Anolis sagrei: one gene and its partner. The protein of the gene in region 2 interacts with the protein of the main gene of each other region in a pairwise test. Links are inferred from orthologs where the notes say so. Each region holds a gene or a part of one and is shown on either strand. Other genes may lie near its edges.

Region 1 (10,371 bases), on a different chromosome or scaffold from region 2:
GAATTGTGGGAGCTGAAGTTCAAAACATCAAGAGGGTCGAAGTTTGCCCATACCTAGTCTATAGCTTTCTCTGTCAAAGAGTTCTGGTGCCTCACCAAACTACAAATCCCAGGATCCCATAGCACTGAGATATAGCAGCTAAAATTGTGTCAAACTGCATTGATTCTACAGTGTAGATGCACCCCATACTGGAGTAGATTACTAGTTCCCACTTCCCTATTTGCACAGAATTTTGTAACACAGCTCTAAAAGCCTCAATAAGAAAATGAAATTGATATAGCCATAAATAACAAAATAAGTTTTGATACAATCCATTTCATACATCTCCAGGATTTAAGGATTCTTGGACATCTATAAAAATGTCCAACCCTCAAAATTATATTTGCATAATATTTTAAAGGGTCTGGAGCTGTACACTACAAATTAAGCCCCCACCACAAGAAATCTACAAGAGTTTTGGCCTTGGGTGTATCTACACCAGACATGGGCAAACTTCCAACAGCCTTGGAGGGGTTTGGACTGGATGGCCCACAAGGTCTCTTCCAACTCTATGATTCTATGTTAGGAATCGTGGGAGTTGGAGTCCAAAACACCTGAAGGGCCGAAGTTTTCCCATGTTTGGTCTAAACCGTAAAATGAATGCAGTTTGACCCCACTTGAACTGCCATGGAACAGTGGTAGTTGTAGTTTGGAGAGGCATGAGTATTCTTTGGCAGAGAAGGCCCAAGACTTTGTGAAACCACAACTCTCATGGTCCCACAGCCTTTAGCCATGGCAGTTTAAACTGGTACCAAGCTGCATTCATTCTCTAATGAAAATGCATTCCAGGAAAAAACTGCTTGACTATCAAGCAAAGCGTGGGTGCTAGAAATAACATCATACGAAAGCTGACTGGGGCTACCTGGAGATCACAGTGAAGACATCTGTCTTTGCGCTTTGCTACTCTGCTGCTGAGTATGCATGCCCAGTGTGGAACACATCTCACCACGTTAAAACAGTGAATGTGGCTCTTAATGAGACATGCCGCATTATCACAGGACATTCACACCCTACACCACTGGAGAAATTATATTGTTTAGCCAGTACTGCACCACCTGATATCCACCAGGAAGTAGAGCCAGCAATTAGAGGACCAAGGCATTGACATCTCCAGCCCATCCCCTGTTCAGATATCAGCCAGCATGCCAACGACTTAGTAAAAAGCTTACTAAGATCTACAGAGATACTCGCAGGAACACCTCAGCAAGCGAGAGTCCAAAAGTGGCAGGCTAAAACCCAGAGCCTCAATCAGTGGCTGATCCTGGATGAGAAACTCCTTCCTTGGGACACAGAAGAGTGGGTGGCCTGGAAGGCACTGAACAGGCTGCACTTTGGTGGCACAAGATGCAGCGCCAATCTTAAGAAATGAGGCTACAAAGTGGAATCCATGACATGCATATGTGGAGCAAAGCAAACCACAGACCACTTACTACAATGCAGTCTGAGCTCCACCACAAGCATAGTGGAGGACCTTCTTACAGCAACAACAGAGGAACTCCAAGTTGCCAGTTTCTGGTCAAAGGACATTTAGTATAATGCCAAGTTTTACCTTTGTGGTTTTTTTATACATTATAACTGTATTCTCAATTCGTTTCTGATGCAATAAATAAATTATTTCCAGGAAAGTACATCTACACTGTGTATAGTGTACTTTCTACACTGGATGATGAGTGCAGTTTGATCCCATGGCTCAATGCTAGGGAAGCATGGGAGTTGTAGTTTTACAAGGTCTTTCACCCTCCCAAAGAGTGCTGGTATATACCCCAACTACTATTCTCATGATTCCATCACCCTGAGCCATGGCAATCAAAGTGGTGCCAAACTGAATTAATTCTACAGTACAGGTGCCCTACTGTCCTGCAAACCGGTATGTACAGTGTTGCTCCTATCTTCTTTTAAGTTGCTTCTCGCCAGCACAGCTGTCCTCTTAAGAAAGGGCGTCTGTGAATTGTTTCAGGCTGAGATCACTTGCAGGGCTCAACAAGCACTTTCTGCTTTTCTTCGCTTGCAAGTGTTAAGGCACACTTTACCTCGCTACAGTGTACATCCAGTCCATAAATGGCACTCTCTCAGTTCTGGCACCCATCAATCAATAATGCTCCATTTGAGTTGTTAGAATGAATGGAAGGCAGCTCTGATAAGAACGTTCTGTCACTTTTAGTAGTTTGATGTATCAGAAATCTTCCATTTTTGTCTTTTACTTGAATAGAGGAAAACTCCCTATTACTTTTACTTTCCCATGATTCCATTGCACTGAGCTATGGCACTTAAAGTTGGATCAAACTGCATTAATTCTATCGACAGCAGTGTTTCTCAACCTTCCTAATACCTCCAACCACAAAATTATTTTTGTTGCTACTACATAATTGTAATTTTGCTACTGTTATGAATCGTAATATAAATATCTGATATACAGGATGTATTTTCATTCACTGGACCAAATCTAGCACACATAGCCAATACACTCAAATTTGAATGCTGGTGAGGTTTTTTTTGGGGGGGGGGGGGTTTGGCGGGGGGGGGGGAAGGGGATTGATTTTGGGTTGTTGTAGGTTTTTTCGGGCTATATGGCCATGGCCTAGAGGCATTCTCTCCTGACATTTCGCCTGCATCTATGGCAAGCATCCTCAGAAGTAGTGAGGTCTGTTGGAACTAGGAACCATGAAAATGAACACAATCTGGCTACCAGTATTAAAAAACTCTAAAATTACAACAGCACAACAACAGAGAGGAAACAAACAAGGACATCTAATCACCTCTCAACAAAAGTTTGCTCTAGGCACTGCCAGGCAATCAAATGCTAATCAAGGTGATCAGTTTAAACATTCACACCTGGCTCTAGCAGACAAGAGTCCTTTGTCTCACCCTGGTCATTCCACAGATATATAAACCCTTTTTTCCCTCCTTTCTGTTGAAATTGTCCACATGCTTGTGTATTTCAATGGCTTCTCCGTGTAGTCTGACATGGTGGTTGTGAGAGTGGTCCAGCATTTCTTTTGTCATTTTGATTTTGTCATTTGGGAGTTGTAGTTGATGGGATTTATAGTTCACCTACAATCAAAGAGCATTCTGAACTCTCCCAATGATGGAATTGAACCAAACTTGGCACACACGACCAATAGAAAATACTGGATGGGTTGGTGGGCAGTGACCCTGAGTTTTGGAGTTGTAGTTCACCTACATTCAGAGCACTAAGGACTCAAACAATGAAGGATCTAGACTCAACTTGGTGCAGATACTTAATAAAAAATGTGAAAAATGGTGGGGTTTGGGGAAAATAGACCTTGACATTTGGGAGTTGTAGTTGCTGGGATTTATAGTTCACCTACAATCAAAGAGCATTCTGAACTCCACCATGGATGGAATTGAACCAAACTCAGCACACAGAATTCCCATGACAAACAGAAAATACTGGAAGGGTTTGGTGGGCATTGACCTTGAGTTTTGGAGTTGTAGTTCACTTACATGCAGAGAGCACTGAGGACTCAAACAATAATGGATCTGAACCAAACTTGACACAAATACTCAATATGCCCAAATGTGAACATTGGTGGAGTTTGGGGAAGATAGACATTTGGCAGATGTAGTTGCTGGGATTTATAGTTCACCTACAATCAAAGAGCATTCTGAACCCTACCAATGATAGAATTGGGCCAAACTTCCCACACAAAGCCCCCATGACCAACAGAAAGTTTTTTGATGGTCTTTTGTGACCCCTCTGACACCCCCTCGTGACCCCCAGGTGGAGAAACGCTAATCTACAGACTTTGGACCTAGGGCAGGCTATTAGGAATTGTGGGAGTTGGAGTCCAAAACACTTGGAAGGCCAAAGTTTGCCCATGCCTGGTCTAGATGCACTGCTAAATTCATAAAATCATAGAATCAAAGAATTGGAACAGACCTCATGGGCCATCCAGTCCAACCCCCTGCCAACAAGCAGGAATATTGCATTCAAAGCACCCCTGACAGATGGCCATCCAGCCTCTGTTTAAAAGCTTCCAAAGAAGGAGCCTCCACCACACTCCGGGGCAGAGAGTTCCACTGGTGAACGGCTCTCACAGTCAGGAAGTTCTTCCTCATGTCCAGATGGAATCTCCTCTCTTGTAGTTTGAAGCCATTGTTCCACGTCCTAGTCTCCAAGGAGGCAGAAAACAAGCTTGCTCCCTCCTCCCTGTGGCTTCCTCTCACATATTTATACATGGCTATCATGTCTCCTCTCATCCTTCTCTTCTTCAGGCTAAACATGCCCAGCTCCTTAAGCCGCTCCTCATAGGGCTTGTTCTCCAGACCCTTGATCATTTTAGTCGCCCTCCTCTGGACACATTCCAGCTTGTCAATATCTCTCTTGAATTGAGGTGCCCAGAATTGGACACAGTATTCCAGGTGTGTGAAATGCAAGTGAAACTTTAATTTCACAAAACTTTTAGTACTTTCCCCACTCAAAACAAACCCTATTTAAGTAGAGAAGGAATAAGAAGGAATCCATACTCACTTTTCTCCAGTCTTGCTTTAAACACCGAGAGAACACACTCCAACTAGTCGCCAAGCAAAGCCACGCCCACCGCCCTGCACAAGGCCCCGCCCCTTTTCAAGAACACATGCGCGCGGTTTCGAAGCATGCCGGGAGTTGTAGTCTTCCAAAACAGGACGCACGTCGTTTGACGCACAGCATGGCGGGGAGGGTCATTGCGTGAAGGTCGCGAAGCATGCCGGGAGGCGCAAGGCCGTAAGGGAGTAACGGCTTCTCGGCGTGGTTTAGTGTCGTGGTTGCCGCCTCCCTCCCGCACCGTTTTTCCCCTCTTCTTCTTCAAGGAGGCTTTCGAGGCGGAGAGAGAGAGAGAGAAAGAGAGAGCCCTTCTTTGGCCGGGCTTTCCTGAGGGCCATGTCCTACTGCAGGCAAGAAGGTACCCGGGGATCTCTGGCAGGAGGGGAGGGGAGGAAGGAGGCAGAGCAGGCCTCGGGCCCCAAGCGAAGGACCCAAGGCGAAGGGCTCCTGGGAGTTGTAGCTTTACAAGGTCTTCAGCCTTCTCTGTCAAAGGAAAAGGATTCTTCGCAAATCCAGAGGTTAAAATGGGGTCAAAGTGCATTATTTCTACAGTGCAGATGCACCAAGGTGACCCAGGTCTCACCTGCACTGGACCTACAATCCAGTTTCTGAAAACAGATTATCTGATTTTAAACTAGATTACAGGAAGTCCCCAAATTACGAGCAAGATAGGTTATGTAAATTTGTTCTTATTATAATAATGTAATACAATATAGTAATAATACAGTAGAATATATAATAACATTGTAATATAATAAGGCTAAGATATTATATCTGATACTACTGATAATATATAACAATATATAATGATATACTCTATTATTATTTTATATTTTAGTTTGTAGTGTTTTTGATTGGGAGCTGATTTGAGTGTCTGCTTTGAGAGATAAAGCAAGATATAAATAAAATAAGTCAGATCATTTTTTCAGTATAGTTCCAGATAGATAGATACACACACACACCAGGTTTAGATAATATAGGGAAGGGTGAACACCCCTGTGGTGTTGTTTTGCTGTCTGTGCCGCTGTTCAAAAGATTTCATCCTGTGATAATTGGATTTTGAAAACTGCATTAATTCTACAGCAGGGGTCCTCAAACTTTTTAAACAGAGGGCCAGGTCATAGTCTCTCAAACTGTTGGAGGGCCAGATTATAATTTGAAAAAAGGATAATGAATTTCTATGCACACAGCACATATCTTATTTGTAGTGCAAAAAACACTTAAAAACAATACAATAATTAAAATGAAGAACAATTTTAACAAATATAAACTTATTAGTATTTCAATGGGAAGTGTGGGCCTGCTTTTGGCTGATGAGATAGGATTATTGTTGTTGTATGCTTTCAAGTCATTTCAGACTTTGGTTGACCCTGAGCGAGGACCGGGTAAATGACCTTGGAGGGCTGCATCCGGCCCTCGGGCCTTAGTTTGAGGACCCCTGTTCTACACTGTAGATTCGTTCTCAGTTAAGAAGGACAATAGACTAGATGTTGTGTAAAGAGTAACTCTGGTATCAAAAGGCTAGTAATCATAAGCAGTTTGTGGACCAACGACTTAGAAGTGGGAAGGCCCATCTAGTCCAATCCTCTGCTGTATAGGAACACATAGCTAAAACAGTCTTTCTAAGACAAGCATGGGCAAACTTGGGTCCTCCAGGTGTTTTGGACTTCAGCTCCCACAATTCCTAACAGCTGGTAGGCTATTAGGAATTATGGGAGTTGAAGTACAAAACACCTTGCTGGATGAAGTTTGCCCATGCCTGTTCTAAGGGATAGCCATCTTGTATGAACTTCACATGTTTAAGTTAATTTTTCACAAAAGACAAAATTCAACGTGAAAGGAATAGATATAGCACTTACTTTGCATCTTTGTTGAGGTTTTATCTAGGTTTTTTCCTTGTTCTTGCTTGGGAGAGAACCCTGTGAGGTCAACCAGGTGAGATTCAAGGTCATTCATTGGGAGTCATGTGGCTGAACCTCTGCCATATTGAGATATTCTTGAGAAAGGGTATGGGTTTGAAATTTTCCTCCTAACTTACTCTTCAATATTTCTGGATAGGTAGAGTATTAAAAGCTTGTTTTCTACTGCTCAGAAAACACAGAGCAATGGATTCAAATTACAGGAAAAGAGATTCTAACTAAAATTAGGAAGAACTTCCTGACAGTAAGACGGATTTGCCAGTGAAATACGCTTCCCTGGAGCATGGCTGAGGCTCCTCCTTTGTAGGTTTTTAAACAAGCTGAATGACCACCTATTGGAAGTACTTTGATTATGCATTGCTGCATGGCAGAAAGGGATTGGGCTAAATGACTCTTGGGTCTTTTTCAACTTTGATTCTAAAAGGTTGCATTCCCAAGAAACATGGAAGCCTATCTACATCTTTTCTTTCCAAGGGCAGGAGACACGCTACAGTGCATATTACAGTCTTCTGTTTGAAAGGTACTTTGGAGGTGGTAGGGCTCAAAATGTATACCATATATACTTGAGTATAAGCCGACCCAAATATAAGCTGAGACACCTAATTTTACCACAAAAAAACTTGGAAAACGTATTGACTCGAGTCTAAGCCAAGGGTGAGAAATGCAGCAGCTACTGGTAAATTTCAAAATAAAAATAGATACCAATGTCCTCAATTACATTAATTGAGGCATTACTAGGTTAAATGTTTTTGAATATTTACATAAAACTGTTATTTAAGATAAGACTGCCCAACCCTGATTAAATCATTATTCTAACCTTCAATGTAAATGTGCTTACATATTCTTCCAATAGTAATAGAGTAAAATAATAAATGTAATAAAAATAATAATAGAGTAAAATAATGTAAATGTAATAATAATAAAAATAGAGTAAAATAATAAATGTAATAAAAATAATAATTACAGAGTAAAATGATAAATAACTTTGACTCAAATATAGGCTGAGGAAGGCTTTTTCATCCTAAAAAAAGAGCTGAAAACTCAGCATATACTTGAGTATATACAGTATATCAAGGTTGCTTAGGCTACACTAACATCACCTTGGAACATGTGTGGCAACGAGCAACTCTATGGCAGCATTCAGCTCCCAAGGCTGTTCCTGTCAGTCTGAACCTATGGTATATTTCTGTATGGAAAGCAGACACTGACATAAGGGAAATCTTTTGGCCTAGTTGCTGATAAGGCAGGTCAGGAAGCTTTGAGATAGCTTTTTGGATTGCTAAAATTGGATCTGTGAGGCAGCTTCACTTTCCCAATCCTTGTTCCCATGGAAGGGATAGTTTGACATTTTTTGTACCATAAGTTATTCTGTAGGTGAAAACAAGTGGAAATCAAAACATAGGATATATTTGATACCTTTAAATCAAGCATCACTCTTGATCATTTTATTCTGAGGACTAATGATGGCTTAACATTGGGATTTTGCATATTTTATTTCCCCATTATGTTTATGAAGTTGATTAAACAGAAGGCCGTTTCACTACCTGGCAGCATTATCTAACACATTCTTGCTCCTTGACATAGATTTATTGCTGAGTGAGTAGTAGGCCTTGTATGTATTTTATGTTCTCATTTTTATGATCGTATTTAGTTCTTGGTGTTGATTTTAGAAGTTGTTCTTTTCCTCATTCTTAGTGTGAAGGCTCATTGAGTTTTCTCTTTACATTTCTTTCAATTTTCCCTTTCCTTGCACATAGAACGGAGTGAATGATGACACTGACTAGCAACTGCTGTCAAGTTGTGTAAGGATCACATGGTAACATCCAACAGAAGCATAAATTACAGCGTTTGATTTAATAGGGTACAGTTGAGGACATAGTCTAATGAAAAGCTAAATGAACACAAAGTAATTGCTGTAGGATAATAATAAAATCATAGGCATTTAGTAAAGCAGTTTAAATAAAAGTAATACGTGGATTTAAGGCTAAATAAAAGTTGTTTATTTACTTTTAAAGATATTATTATATTTATTGATTGCCTAGAGATACGCTTTGGCAAGCGGTATACAAAAAGTTGTGGCTTTGATTTTTACCTGGCAATTTTGGTACCTTGAAAAGTAAGAAATCAGCTTGTGTCATATATTTCATGGATTATAACAGGGGTGAGAGTCATGCCGACTTCCCGATGCTGGACTAAAACTCCAGCATTCCTCACAATTGACTGTGCTGGCTAAGGCTGCTGGGACTTACAGTTCAGCAGTATCTGGAAGGCAACATGATTCCTATCCCTGGATTATTTATTTATTTATTTCATTTATATACCGCTTTTCTCAGCCCTTGGGCGATTATAGGCTCTAAAACTATGGAAGATTAGTCTATAGTGTATTTGTGATAGATCTTTAAGGTGCTACAAGTTTCTCTTTCATTTTTTCTTCTGAAGCAGATCAGCACAACCACTCCTGTAATGAGTTTTCTTAATATCACTTAAATCTATATAAATAAAAATGTAATGTTCGTTTGTGATACCATCATATCTCAAAAACCACTGGGGGAATTGGCACCAAATTTGGACACAATACACCTAACAACCCAATGTATGTTCTCCACTCAACCTCCCCCCCCTCAAAAAAAAACACTTCCCCCTCCCTCCCCCTACCCCCCCTTAGAAAGACGATCAACTGTAAGCCTCAGGCAGGGGGAGGGGAGGAGTGCACGTGCATGGCCAGCAGCGAGTGTGCATGGAGGCCCTTCCTTCAGGAGCTGGAGGAAAAACCCTCATCCCTGCAGGCCTGCTACCCTGTCACTATCCTTTACATCAGGGGTCCTCAAACTATGGGGTGTGGAGAAGGGTGAGTCCCCCCCCCCCCAAGAAGTGCTTCCCTGGGCAGCAGCACTGGCAGGTACAAAGGAGGCCGGGCTCCCTCCTCCTCCTCTTCCAAGGAGTAAACTTGCAACTGAAGGAAAGGAGGGATTGGGGGGGGGCACATTAGGAGCTGAGGGGAAAAAACAAACAAAAAGAGGTAAACAACACTTTACATTTACTTTGTGCCTTCACTCTACAGCAATGCCCTTCTTTTTTGGATTCTCCATGCTCCAACATATTGGAGGAAGCAGCAGCAGCAAAAGAGGCGGGGGGGGGGGGAGCAGCAGTAAGGGAGACGGACTCTCCTCCCTCTCTCTCTTTCTCTCTTTCTCTCTCTCCCTGCAGCATCCACCGGATTCCTGGCTATGGCTCTGCAGGCTTCCAGCCCCATGCTAACTTTAAGGTTGTGTCACATGGCTCCTTGGAGGGGGGGGGGCTAAGGATTACCCAGCCCACCACTCTCCAGGGCCAGCAAGAGTGACCAAAAGCTTTATTTACTGCAGAGGAGGCTCCTGTTTGGAGGAGAAAAGGTGAGAGGCAGGAGCCTGAGATTGGGGGCTGAGGCCTGCAAGAGGAGAAGTTCTGTGGGCAAAGATTCTTGGAATGGCTGGGTGCCTCTGAGCATGTGCAGAGTGATTCCTTGAACTTTCCAAAGGTGATTGATTGCAACTCCTTTCATCCCCAAAATGATGGGAGATGCCTTTGAGAAAGGATGGGAGATGAAACTAGGGGGTGCATCTGCACTGGGAAATTAATGTGGCTCAGTAGCATTTTAACTGTGGATCCCAGGGAGTTGTAGTTTGACAAGGCCTTGGGCTGCTTCTACAATGAATGCAGTTCGGTACCACTTCCGCGGCTCAATAAATCATGGGATTTGTTGTCTTGAGCCTCCTTTGCCGAGGAGTATAGGAAACTGCAAATCCCAGGATTTTGTAGCAGTTAAACTGCATTAATTCTACAGTGTAGATCAGGCATGAGCAAACTTTGGCCCTCCTGGTGTTTTGG
Region 2 (10,043 bases):
TTTCAAAAAAACCCATAGAAAAAAATCACAAGGGGCCAAATCTGGAAAGCGGGCCAGCCACTCCAAATCTGCTCGAAAAGTAGGCCTCAACGGCAAAAGCACACTCCTCACTGTTCCAATGCATGATGGTGACTGAACTGTGTCAGGACAAAACTTTATATTCCCGCCTTGAGACCACTATCGCTCCGCTACGTCTTCAACCGACTGAATGGCGCACATTTTAAATAAGGAAGTTTTGCTGCCTCACCCTATATATACACCTAATGGCTCTTACATGACCATCCAGGTTTTTGGCTACTTTTTTAAAAAATGAGAGTGTTCCTCTTGTCCTCATAGAGCAGGCAAATTATGTTAAATGAGGGACAATAAAGGCAGCACTGGGGGATTGCTGCATTTTGAAACTAACAACCACTTCCAATTTGAATCTATTTACTTGAGTCTGAAAAAGTGCTTCTAATTTTTAAGCACATAAGCAATAAAGTTTTAATCCAAAAGCATTCGTCCTTACAAGTTCATTTCTGATTATGTTCACCATATCTAAAAAGAGATAGTTTCATTGGTAAATTGCAAGGGCTACCAAGAAGCATACATGATACAGCTCAAATATTTAAAATGTATCATGAGGAGACAGCAAAGCTTAGAGAAGGCAATTATGCTGGGGAAAGTGGAAGGTAAAAGGAAGAGGAGCCGACCAAGGGCAAGATGGATGGATGGCATCCTTGAAGTGACTGGACTGACCTTGAAGGAGCTGGGGGCGGTGACAGCTGACAGGGAGCTCTGGCGTGGGTTGAACGAATGAACAACAAGTGCATTTTTGTGGTTTTTATTTTTAAAAAACAAAGAGTGCATTCCTTTATTATTTTCAGATTTCTGAATGGAGTTTGAAGAAAGTTCTGTGCATTATATTAAAATATGCTTTGAACAAAGGTTTTCTTGAAAATGCATGTAAAATGGTATCATAAATGCAAATCAATTTAGGATTATAAGAGCCAACAGTTTGTAAAGAGGTGAGGGACCTTTTTAAAATGGGGGCACTTCAGTATTTTCAGTAAATTGGTAAAAGTTACAGCTTTAAATAAAAATCCTTGAATGCCTTTCCTTTGAAAATTAAGGAATTCTGTTAAATATTGGCTTTGCCCATCAGAAAGTGAATCTTCAAATATAAAGTGCAAATCGATACACTATCTACTTGCACTTTATATTAGGAACATGGGAAGTTGCCTTGCATTGAGACTAGCTCACAGCAGTTAACGCTTGCCAGCATCAATTTTCCAAGATTTTAGGCAAGATTTTTTCCTTAACCCTGTGCCTGGAATTGGACATGGAACTTAGTCATGCACTCTGCCATTGCATTCCAGCCATTCAATACAAGATAAGATGTATGCAAAGATTATTTGCTTATAATATTAAGAGTCAGAAAAGAACACAAGGAGCTGTTGGATTTGAGCCATCTTCTTGCTGAAGGCAGAAAAAAGCATATTTTCTTACCATAGCTAACTCAACCTGCTTCTAGTTTCTACACAATTGTGTGCATATCTGCCTTGACAGATTCAAGACAAGGTGTATAACGCTGGTTATGTATTGGGCTCCCTATTAGAGTAGCATGGTCACCTTTTCTGGACATAGTTTGTGGCGTACCTCCTGAAAACTTTGGATGCTGCTGTGCTATAGAGTGACAGCAATCTTTTGGAGTTTGTCATTGCTTTCGGTGGGCAAAATCCTGGAAGCACTACTGCTGCAAACCCATACTACTTGCATCAGGCCTATTTTGTATAAGCAAGGCTTGAAAACCTTTCCATTTCCTCAGCCCATATAGATGGAGAGGAAGATGATGCACCAGCACTGCAGTGGCAAATGAATTGCATAGGAATAAACCATTTTACCCTGTTCCTCAAGAGTGGGATTATGGTGGTCATTGTGCTTCGTTCTTCTTACCCTGTCAGACTGTTGTTTTTGGCAGTTGTCTTTCAGTCCCAAATTAATGCTTGTGTGAACTCTTAAATGTTCTGATGTACTTGAGTTTTGGAAGGCCTTCTCTGCTGTCTAAGGAGAGCTATATATGTCTCAAATGGATGAATCCTTTGAAGATTTATTCTGCAAACAATGTAGAATATTGTTGGAAGCTTTCATATATATTTAGTTGCTTAGATTTGGTCTTAGTCCAGATGACTGCTAAATGATGTGTGTCTGCAGTGAAATTCTGAATTATTTCCTTCTGGAAACAAACCCTCCAATAATGTTTGGGAAACTTCAGAGGTGACCCCCAACACAGGAAAGTGCTTATGATAGGAGGAAAATAGGATTGAAAGTTTTAATGTGTACTCAGACCATTGTATACTGCAAGTGGAAATCTTTTAAACTACACAGAGACAGAGGTCCAAATAAAAGCTACTTATTTAATATTGGCACTATTATTTATAGAATTTTAATGTTTATGGGTACCACATATGAAATTGAGGAAAAATTATTGTAATTTGGTGGTGTTCGTATCAGATTAAAGCATTGCAAGTATGTTGAATGGTATTATAACATTAGTGACTTTGTAACTAAGTTAGTTATTTACTTCATTGTGAGTTTCTATTCTCATCTTGCAGGTTACATATAGCCAACCTTTGAAATAACAGTTTGCTCCCCCCCCCCCTCATTTTTCCTGTGCACCCTTTCTCACTAGAACTGGCCAGTTGTCCCTCATGAAATCTTGCGGTTGACCATTTCACCCAGTTCCCACCCCATTGCCTGCTTTATGCCCATTTGGACTTTTTTCTCTCTTCAAAATGGGAAGTGGTTGTCATTGCGGTTTGAGAAATAATCCATATGGCACTAAAATAGTCTATATGAGCTAAAAGAGGTATTGAGAAATTGAATTAAATGTCTGGTTGTAACTTTTGCTGAAAGAAGTTTTTTAAAACACTTTTTTGGGGGGGTTGGTGGGTAAGGGAGGAGATACAAAAGTGGGGAGAGTCTGGTCTTCTATGGTCCTGGGATGATAAAGCCTCTGTCATGTCCTGATACTTCTAATAATGTGGATTGAAAACTGGAGTTTGAATTATTTGATTGAGGAATAGTTTTAGAAACAATTAATCATTTCTATTAAGTTATCTATGTTTGGATTGTTCAAAAATAACCAAACTTCTATGTATCATTGGAGTCAGCTGGGGCTTTGCAGGTGTTGGACTAGTGCCTGGATGCTGTCATGGGCTGGATGAAGGCCAGTAAACTGAAGCTGAATCCTGGTAGACGTAGGCTCTGTGAAATGGAAGTTATTCCATCCAGGAATTGAGTAACAGTTTGTTCTGGATGGGGTTGGACTCTCCATAAAGCAACAGATATCCAGCTTGGGAATGCTCCTAGTTTCCATCCGTGTCACTGAAGGCTAAAGTGGGCTTTGTAACCCAGAGTGCTTCATGCCAGCTTTGACTGGTGCCTATGACCTTTCCTGGATAACCTAACCACAGGTAATTCATGCACTGGGAACCTTCTAGGCTACTGCACTGTGTTCTGCATGGGGCTGCCATTGAAGGTTTGGAAACTGCAGTTAGTGCAAAGTACAGCAGCTTGACTGCTGAAGAAATATCATATACACAACATTTAATGCCAGTTTTAAAATAATTGCACTGGCTGCCAATACATTTCAGGTCTGAATACAAGGTGCTTATGGGGATACCGCAAGCCCTAAATAACTCTGACACTTGAAGGAATGCCTCTTCCTATGTTTACCTGTCTGAGAATTAAGATCTTCAGAAGAGGAGGGGTTTTCCCTGTCCCACCATGAGATGACTATGTCAGGACATGGGAGAAAGGCTTCTCAGCTGTTGCATCCCAGCTATGGAATGCTCATCTCCTGGAGGCCCAGCTGGCACCAATGCTCCTCCCATGAAAGCCTTTGAACCTCATTAATGCAACCTAAATATTATTATTTACAACTTTTTCAACTTGGTTTTTAAACATATTGTTGGATGTGATTTAAGTTTATGTACAGTCTGTTGCTGTTTTAGCCCGTTTAACCTGTTCTACTGCTGTTACAAATTTCCTTGCGATCACTTGACATAGGATGGGGTGTAAATATTTTAATAAATATATAAAATAAAGTGCAATGCTTTTTTTGTTATTAGAGTAGTGCTTTGGAAGAAAAATGAATAGCAAATACAGTCTAGAGTATATAATTTCAGGATGTTAGTGATATATTGTCGTTATCTATGTTTTCTTAGAGCTAAACATAGCTAAACACAGTCCAATTGCTACAGTTCTGGCAAGCAATTTTGTTTTCTCCAGTTTTTTTGTACTTCCTTTAGAAATACATTAATATAATAACTGTCATCACATCTGTAATGTAGAGCAGCAATGTAGTATGCATTGATACTACCTCTTCCATCTACTGATTATTTACATTTTACATTTATTTATTTACATTTTAAAAGATTAGGATTCCATGATTCAAAACATAGCACTGACCTGTAGTTGTCCCAACAGTTGGTTTGTGGCAACGTACCTAGCATATCTCTTTTCCATCTCATGTGGAACCAGGGTCATATTTAGGAAGTAAATGTATAAAAGAGAAGAAGAGAGAGGGGGCCAGGGGACATTCCATCTTGTCTCCAGTGCTATTCTAATAATATAAAATATAATAATATAATATAATATATATACATAAAATATTTATAATATTATAATGTAATGCAATATAATAATATATTATAATTATATATTTATATTACATGTAATATTACTAATAATATTACGATATAGTGATATGGTGCAATATAGCAATGTTTAATGCTGATATTGTACTATGCTAATAATATAATATATTGTATGTAATATATACCTTGTAAGCCGCTCTGAGTCCCCTTCAGGGTGAGAAGGGCGGCATATAAATGTCGTAAACAAACAAATAATAAATAAATAAAAGTACCAGATCCTGTATGATCTTGGAAACCAAGCATGTTCATCCCAGGTTAGTATTTCAGTGGGAGACCACCAATGGATATGAAGTTCTGTGAGCGATGTAGTTTGCATTAGCCACAGATTCATCCGTCCATGGTTTGAAAATATTGCAAATTTTGATTTTACACACAGTTTTACTATGCCATTGCATATAATGGGATTTAAGCATCCGTGAATCTTCATATCCATGGGATGTATGTGGGGATAGACTGGAAACAAATCAAGGACTAACTATATTCCAGTGAAAGGAACTCACAAAACCATCTCTGAGTATTCCTTGTTTAAGAAAACCCTATGAAGTTTTTAGGGTCTCTGTATGTCGACAGGTAACTTGAAGGCACAGGAGACTATCACTTTGTTTAGAAGCATTTTGAAGTGCCCGTGAAACAAAGATAAGAATAAAGAGCCATAATTTTGCTCCTTTTTTGTCGTTGTTGCCTTAACTGTGTATGTGTGCGCGTGTTTTTTTTACACATTATCCATATACATTCCTTAAATGCTTTAAACAGTGAAAAGTGTATCCATGAACTTCTAGAATTAGCAGTTGCTTCCTCCATGTGTCATCACTGTTGCTCTCTGCTGTGCCTAGTATTTTGTATATGGTAATCCCTCCCCCCATTTTTTGCAGAGACGACAACAACTTCCACCCCCGGATTACTATGTCCTCCACAGAGTTTGGGTTCGCTAAAGTTTCTTGAATTTTGCCAGCCCAGTTTGCTAAGGGAATCCTTTTCTGGCGAGATCACAGAGGAGAGTGCACTGCTAATGTTATCTCACTTTTGTTTCTTTTTTAAAAAATGATCCTTAGTTCAGAGAGCGGCCTTTTATGGGAAGGTCCAAAATTCAGAGGCTGTGCAGATGCTGTGCTTGCAAAGAGCTCCAGATTGAGTCACTGACCTGGCCAGGTAAAGTTGGAAAGGACCCCAGTAAACACCGTGGAGAATTGTTGCTAAGTTAGCATCGAAAGCCACATTGTACAGACATTGCCCTGACTCCTTAGCACAAGAATAGAGTGATGCCTTTGAGGTGAGCTGTGACTGGGGCTGGCCTTGCGTGGCAGAGAAAAAGCCCAACCCTTCTTTTCCCAGCGTCTCCTTTGCTGTGCTCAGCAGTCTCTGGCTCTGAGGAATGCTTGCCTTAGCTGGCTGCCAGCAGAGTCCGGCCGGTCATGTGAGACTGGTCCGCCCCATCACCCGCCTCCTTCCCTTCCCTCCCTGGGCTGAGGAGGGACGCCGCCTCTTCCTCCTCCTTTCCCTCCCATTTGTTAGGAGCTGAAGCAGAGCAAGATCAGGGCTCTGTCCACAGCCGGTGGCTTTACTCCTGGTGCTGCCGTCTTCACTTGTTTTGTCTTTGGCTGTACTCTTCATTCTTGGGCTAGAGCTTCATTATCGTCTGGTTGGATGCACTTGAAATCGTACAAGATGTGGTGTTGGAAATTCCAGGATCCTTATCAGGGAGCCTTGCTGATCTAGTGGATATACCTAATTGGAGCTTTGCCAGATCTACAGCTTCACCTCTTCTACTCCCACCTTGCTTTGGATTACTTGGAAAACTTTACTTCAACGCGGGGAGCTGACTTTCATTGCCCTGGTTTGTCCCAGGAGTGGCGAGCCTCTTGTGGCTGTGGCCCCCCTTCTGGGTGCTGTATTCCTGCCTTGGAGTTTCCAGGAGGGGCCTCTGTTGTGGATTGTTTTAGTTTCTATGGAGAAACGCAATGAGCTCTTTTACTCCTCATGACGGGGAAATCCGCCTTCAGTTTTTTATATGCGTGGAAAGGAGTCCTTGATACATGCCTGCCAGGAAATAAAGCCAGCAAAAGAAAAGGTAGCCATTGTTTGACCAGAATAGTTAGGTGCTGCATTTCAGTGTTAAAAGTTCGCTGTTGCCTGGGATATCACAAGCATGCACTCTTCATTGTTTGGCTCGATATCAGAAATGCCTCTGGGTAATTCTTCAGTATGAGAGCTGATCCTGCAGTTCTTAGTCCAGCTGGTAATTTCCTTTTTTGTAAAATCTAAGGAATTTAGCAAAATTAGGTTTGTGGCTTATACCTTTCCTTGTCTTTACATTCAATACATGTTTGAAAAGGGGCAGAAATAACTACAATCACTGATACACTTCATGGGAAAACAGACCAGTGTTGACATTGTCCACATGGCCTGTTTTACATTCTATCACTCTACAATAATGGCACCACCCTGGAATCTAGCGTGACCTGTAACACCGAAGAAATCTTATCAGGATCTGAATATAGTTTTCTTCCTGAAGTGCTGCCAAGTATTGAACTGACCTAACATGTTTGTCTTTAGTTACCATGATAAATAAAAATGGGGGGAGAGATAAGAGACTTGCCTTTCTTTGCTTTCATCTGAGTATCTTTTAATGCCAAGACACAAGAGATGCCATGTATTGTTTTCCCTTATGCTGACATCAAACATCCTGAACATATTTCTGCTCATTGGAATTTTGGAGCATGTAGTGGTAAAGAACAAAGTAGCTGGACTTCTCTCATATGATAATGGACTAAACTGGATTCGTGTAATCGTTATTGAGAGAAGTCTTGCTTTAATCAGAGCAGATGCATTTATAGGCTGCTGAAAGCTCTATCTGTATTTCAGAATTGGGCAGGACCTGACAGGCTCTGTGATGATGAGAAAGGATCCCACACTTAGCACACATTTTGTAGCTTGTGTTTTGGGAAGGCACATAAGGCATACTTAAGAGTAGTGGCTCAACAGGCTGTCCTGGTTCTCCTTGTTGTATGAGGATGAGTTTTCCATCCAGAGTCACAGGCCTTTTTGCATATATCCTCCTGATGTTGATCCTTTTCATTCCTAGAGACTTGTGTTGAGATTTCTGCCAGTGAAAATGACTGTGGTGGTTGACTTCAGCTGTTGCCAAGTAGTAAATTGCTCATTTTAACATTGCTTCTTCTTTGGGAGTTAATATAGCAGGTCATTAGAAACAGCTTGCAGATAACCACTCACTCCCACTATTTTGCATGTGTTCTGCAAAGGCAGCTTCACTCAGGTTGCTGATATATATATGTGTGTGTGTGTGTGTGTGTGTGTGAACCACAAGATAAAATCATATATATGTGTGTGTGTGTGTGTGTGTGAAAATCATATATATATGTGAACCACAAGATAAAATCTAAGCTTGGAATCAGGTTTGTCAAAGGTTGGGTCCAAGGTTGATTCCACAACAAAAGAAGAGTGTTAGTTACTCAAGAACAAAACATAAACTGTGCATGTTGATAGAAGAAAAGAAAATACTGTGGTTACCATAAACATATGACTGTCCCATTTAGTATCTGTGTTCCCATGGTGCTCTCAGGTTTAACTCTTCCATTTCAGTAGCATCTGCACACTGCAGTGGCCTTGTAATTTAATTACTCTTGGTTTTTTGTCCGGTTGCTCACTGCTTTATCTTGCAGAGATCTTATGATTACAGTACTTATCAACGCCTAATGGAAAAGGAGGTATGCAGATTTCCCACTAGGAAAATATACAATTTTTAGGGTATTTTCACAGTAATTTAAAAATGGAAGTGAACTTTATTTATTTCTAGTTCCATAATGGCATTTATTTTTAAAAATCAGTTTCATTTAATATTATATTATCTATGGCAAAACATAGATATTATGGTGATGGGGCTGATCAGTTGTTACTAGTAAAGTAATAATGTAAACACAACTACTGAAATGATTATTATTGTTGTAAACACAAGCAGAATGATACAAATGTCAAAAACAATCCCACAAGGTTAAACAGAAAAAATAGATAATGATATTCCACTTGCATTTTCTCTCAATTTGATATATCCTATTATCTTAACCTTACCAGCTCCACAATCAAGTCTCACTTGTATTCAGTAGTTTTTCTCCCCCTCCCCCACCCCACCCTCTGGTGTTATTTTAATTGATCAATCGTGAAGAAAGTATGATTCAGTTCTTTATATTATCCTTTTCTATTTACTTTAGCTATCAAAATTCCCCATTTGAGTCCCAATTCTTCTTGAAATGGCTTGTTGTGTATTTATTTAAAGAATGGTTGTGTTAGTTTTCTTATTGGTTTTTTTTTTTTAAAAAAATTGAACTTTCATATCATAACAGTTAGCTATCTAGGTTTAGGTATACCCAGCAAAAGTGAGAAAGGTGAATTTTTTATGTTGCATGTTGGATATCTGATCATTAGAAAACAAAGGAGACCCATGGCTTTCTTGATTGAATTACAGTGTAGTGTGTTCATTAGCATGCAAATAAAACAAATCTGAACACCCCATACCGGGAGAAAAGTAGGATTAAAATTAACTAAATAAATAAAAATATTTTAGATGCATATTCATATTGTAGCAGGCAGTGAATTCTTACTTTTGTTAAGTAGAGATCAGATTCTTTTTCTAAGATGACACCATCCACTCATGTTCTTCTAAATTTGTACTGTTTGAAAATATAATATGGTCTCCATATTCATGGAGGATACGTTCCAAAACACACACACAAACACACACAACGATGGATACCAGGAAACCCTGTTTTGACTACATAGGCAGTCTTCTCTATTAGCTGGGCATAAGCCCCCACAAAGTGAAAAGACACAAGTAAAAAAATGTCTGTTTTTGAACCTGAGAACACTTTTCAAGAAATATCAAGTTTTAGCAGCATGACATTGTTGTAAACATCCACTGCGGTCAGACTCTCTAGGAATCTCTTGTTCTTCTGGAGGTATCCTCCAGCATAACTATGATCAACCTTTGGCAAAAGATGATCATAGTTACCTTGAAGATTCTCAAAGATTTCTAGAAAGAACATTTTAATCAAATCTGTAAACAATCAGATCAGCAAAAGTCGATTTCACAAATATGGAGAGATAACTGTATTTGGGTTAGAAGCATACTATCAAATAGCACTGGAGGACCTAGAGAGGCTCACAAACAGTTCCAATATTGTCTGGAGATGAATAGTGAAACGGTGGATATTCAACCTGTGGAATAAGAAGGCCTTTTTCTGTATTCACTCAGACATTAAGTCCCACTTTCTCAAATACATTTTACTCTGAGTCAGCGATTATGATTACATTCTTGGATACATAAAGGAA

The links.
Region 1: the proteins of SIAH1 (region 2) and TMEM43 interact in binary tests that used the Homo sapiens proteins (3 or more experiments, as listed by UniProt). The two-hybrid records come from large-scale screens. The link is inferred for Anolis sagrei from reciprocal best matches to the Homo sapiens genes SIAH1 and TMEM43.

What each region holds. Positions count from the first base shown.
Region 1 is NC_090022.1:52,194,974-52,205,344, forward strand, and holds the start of TMEM43 (transmembrane protein 43), read right to left. Parts: upstream 4,598-10,371; 5' UTR 4,532-4,597; intron 1-4,531. Other genes in the region: CHCHD4 (mitochondrial intermembrane space import and assembly protein 40), read left to right, coding at 4,922-4,943. UniProt on the Homo sapiens protein: May have an important role in maintaining nuclear envelope structure by organizing protein complexes at the inner nuclear membrane. Required for retaining emerin at the inner nuclear membrane.
Region 2 is NC_090028.1:36,557,383-36,567,425, forward strand, and holds the start of SIAH1 (E3 ubiquitin-protein ligase SIAH1), read left to right. Parts: upstream 1-6,184; 5' UTR 6,185-6,677; coding exon 6,678-6,768; intron 6,769-6,800; exon of another isoform or gene 6,801-6,902; coding exon of another isoform or gene 6,903-6,936; intron 6,937-10,043. UniProt on the Homo sapiens protein: E3 ubiquitin-protein ligase that mediates ubiquitination and subsequent proteasomal degradation of target proteins.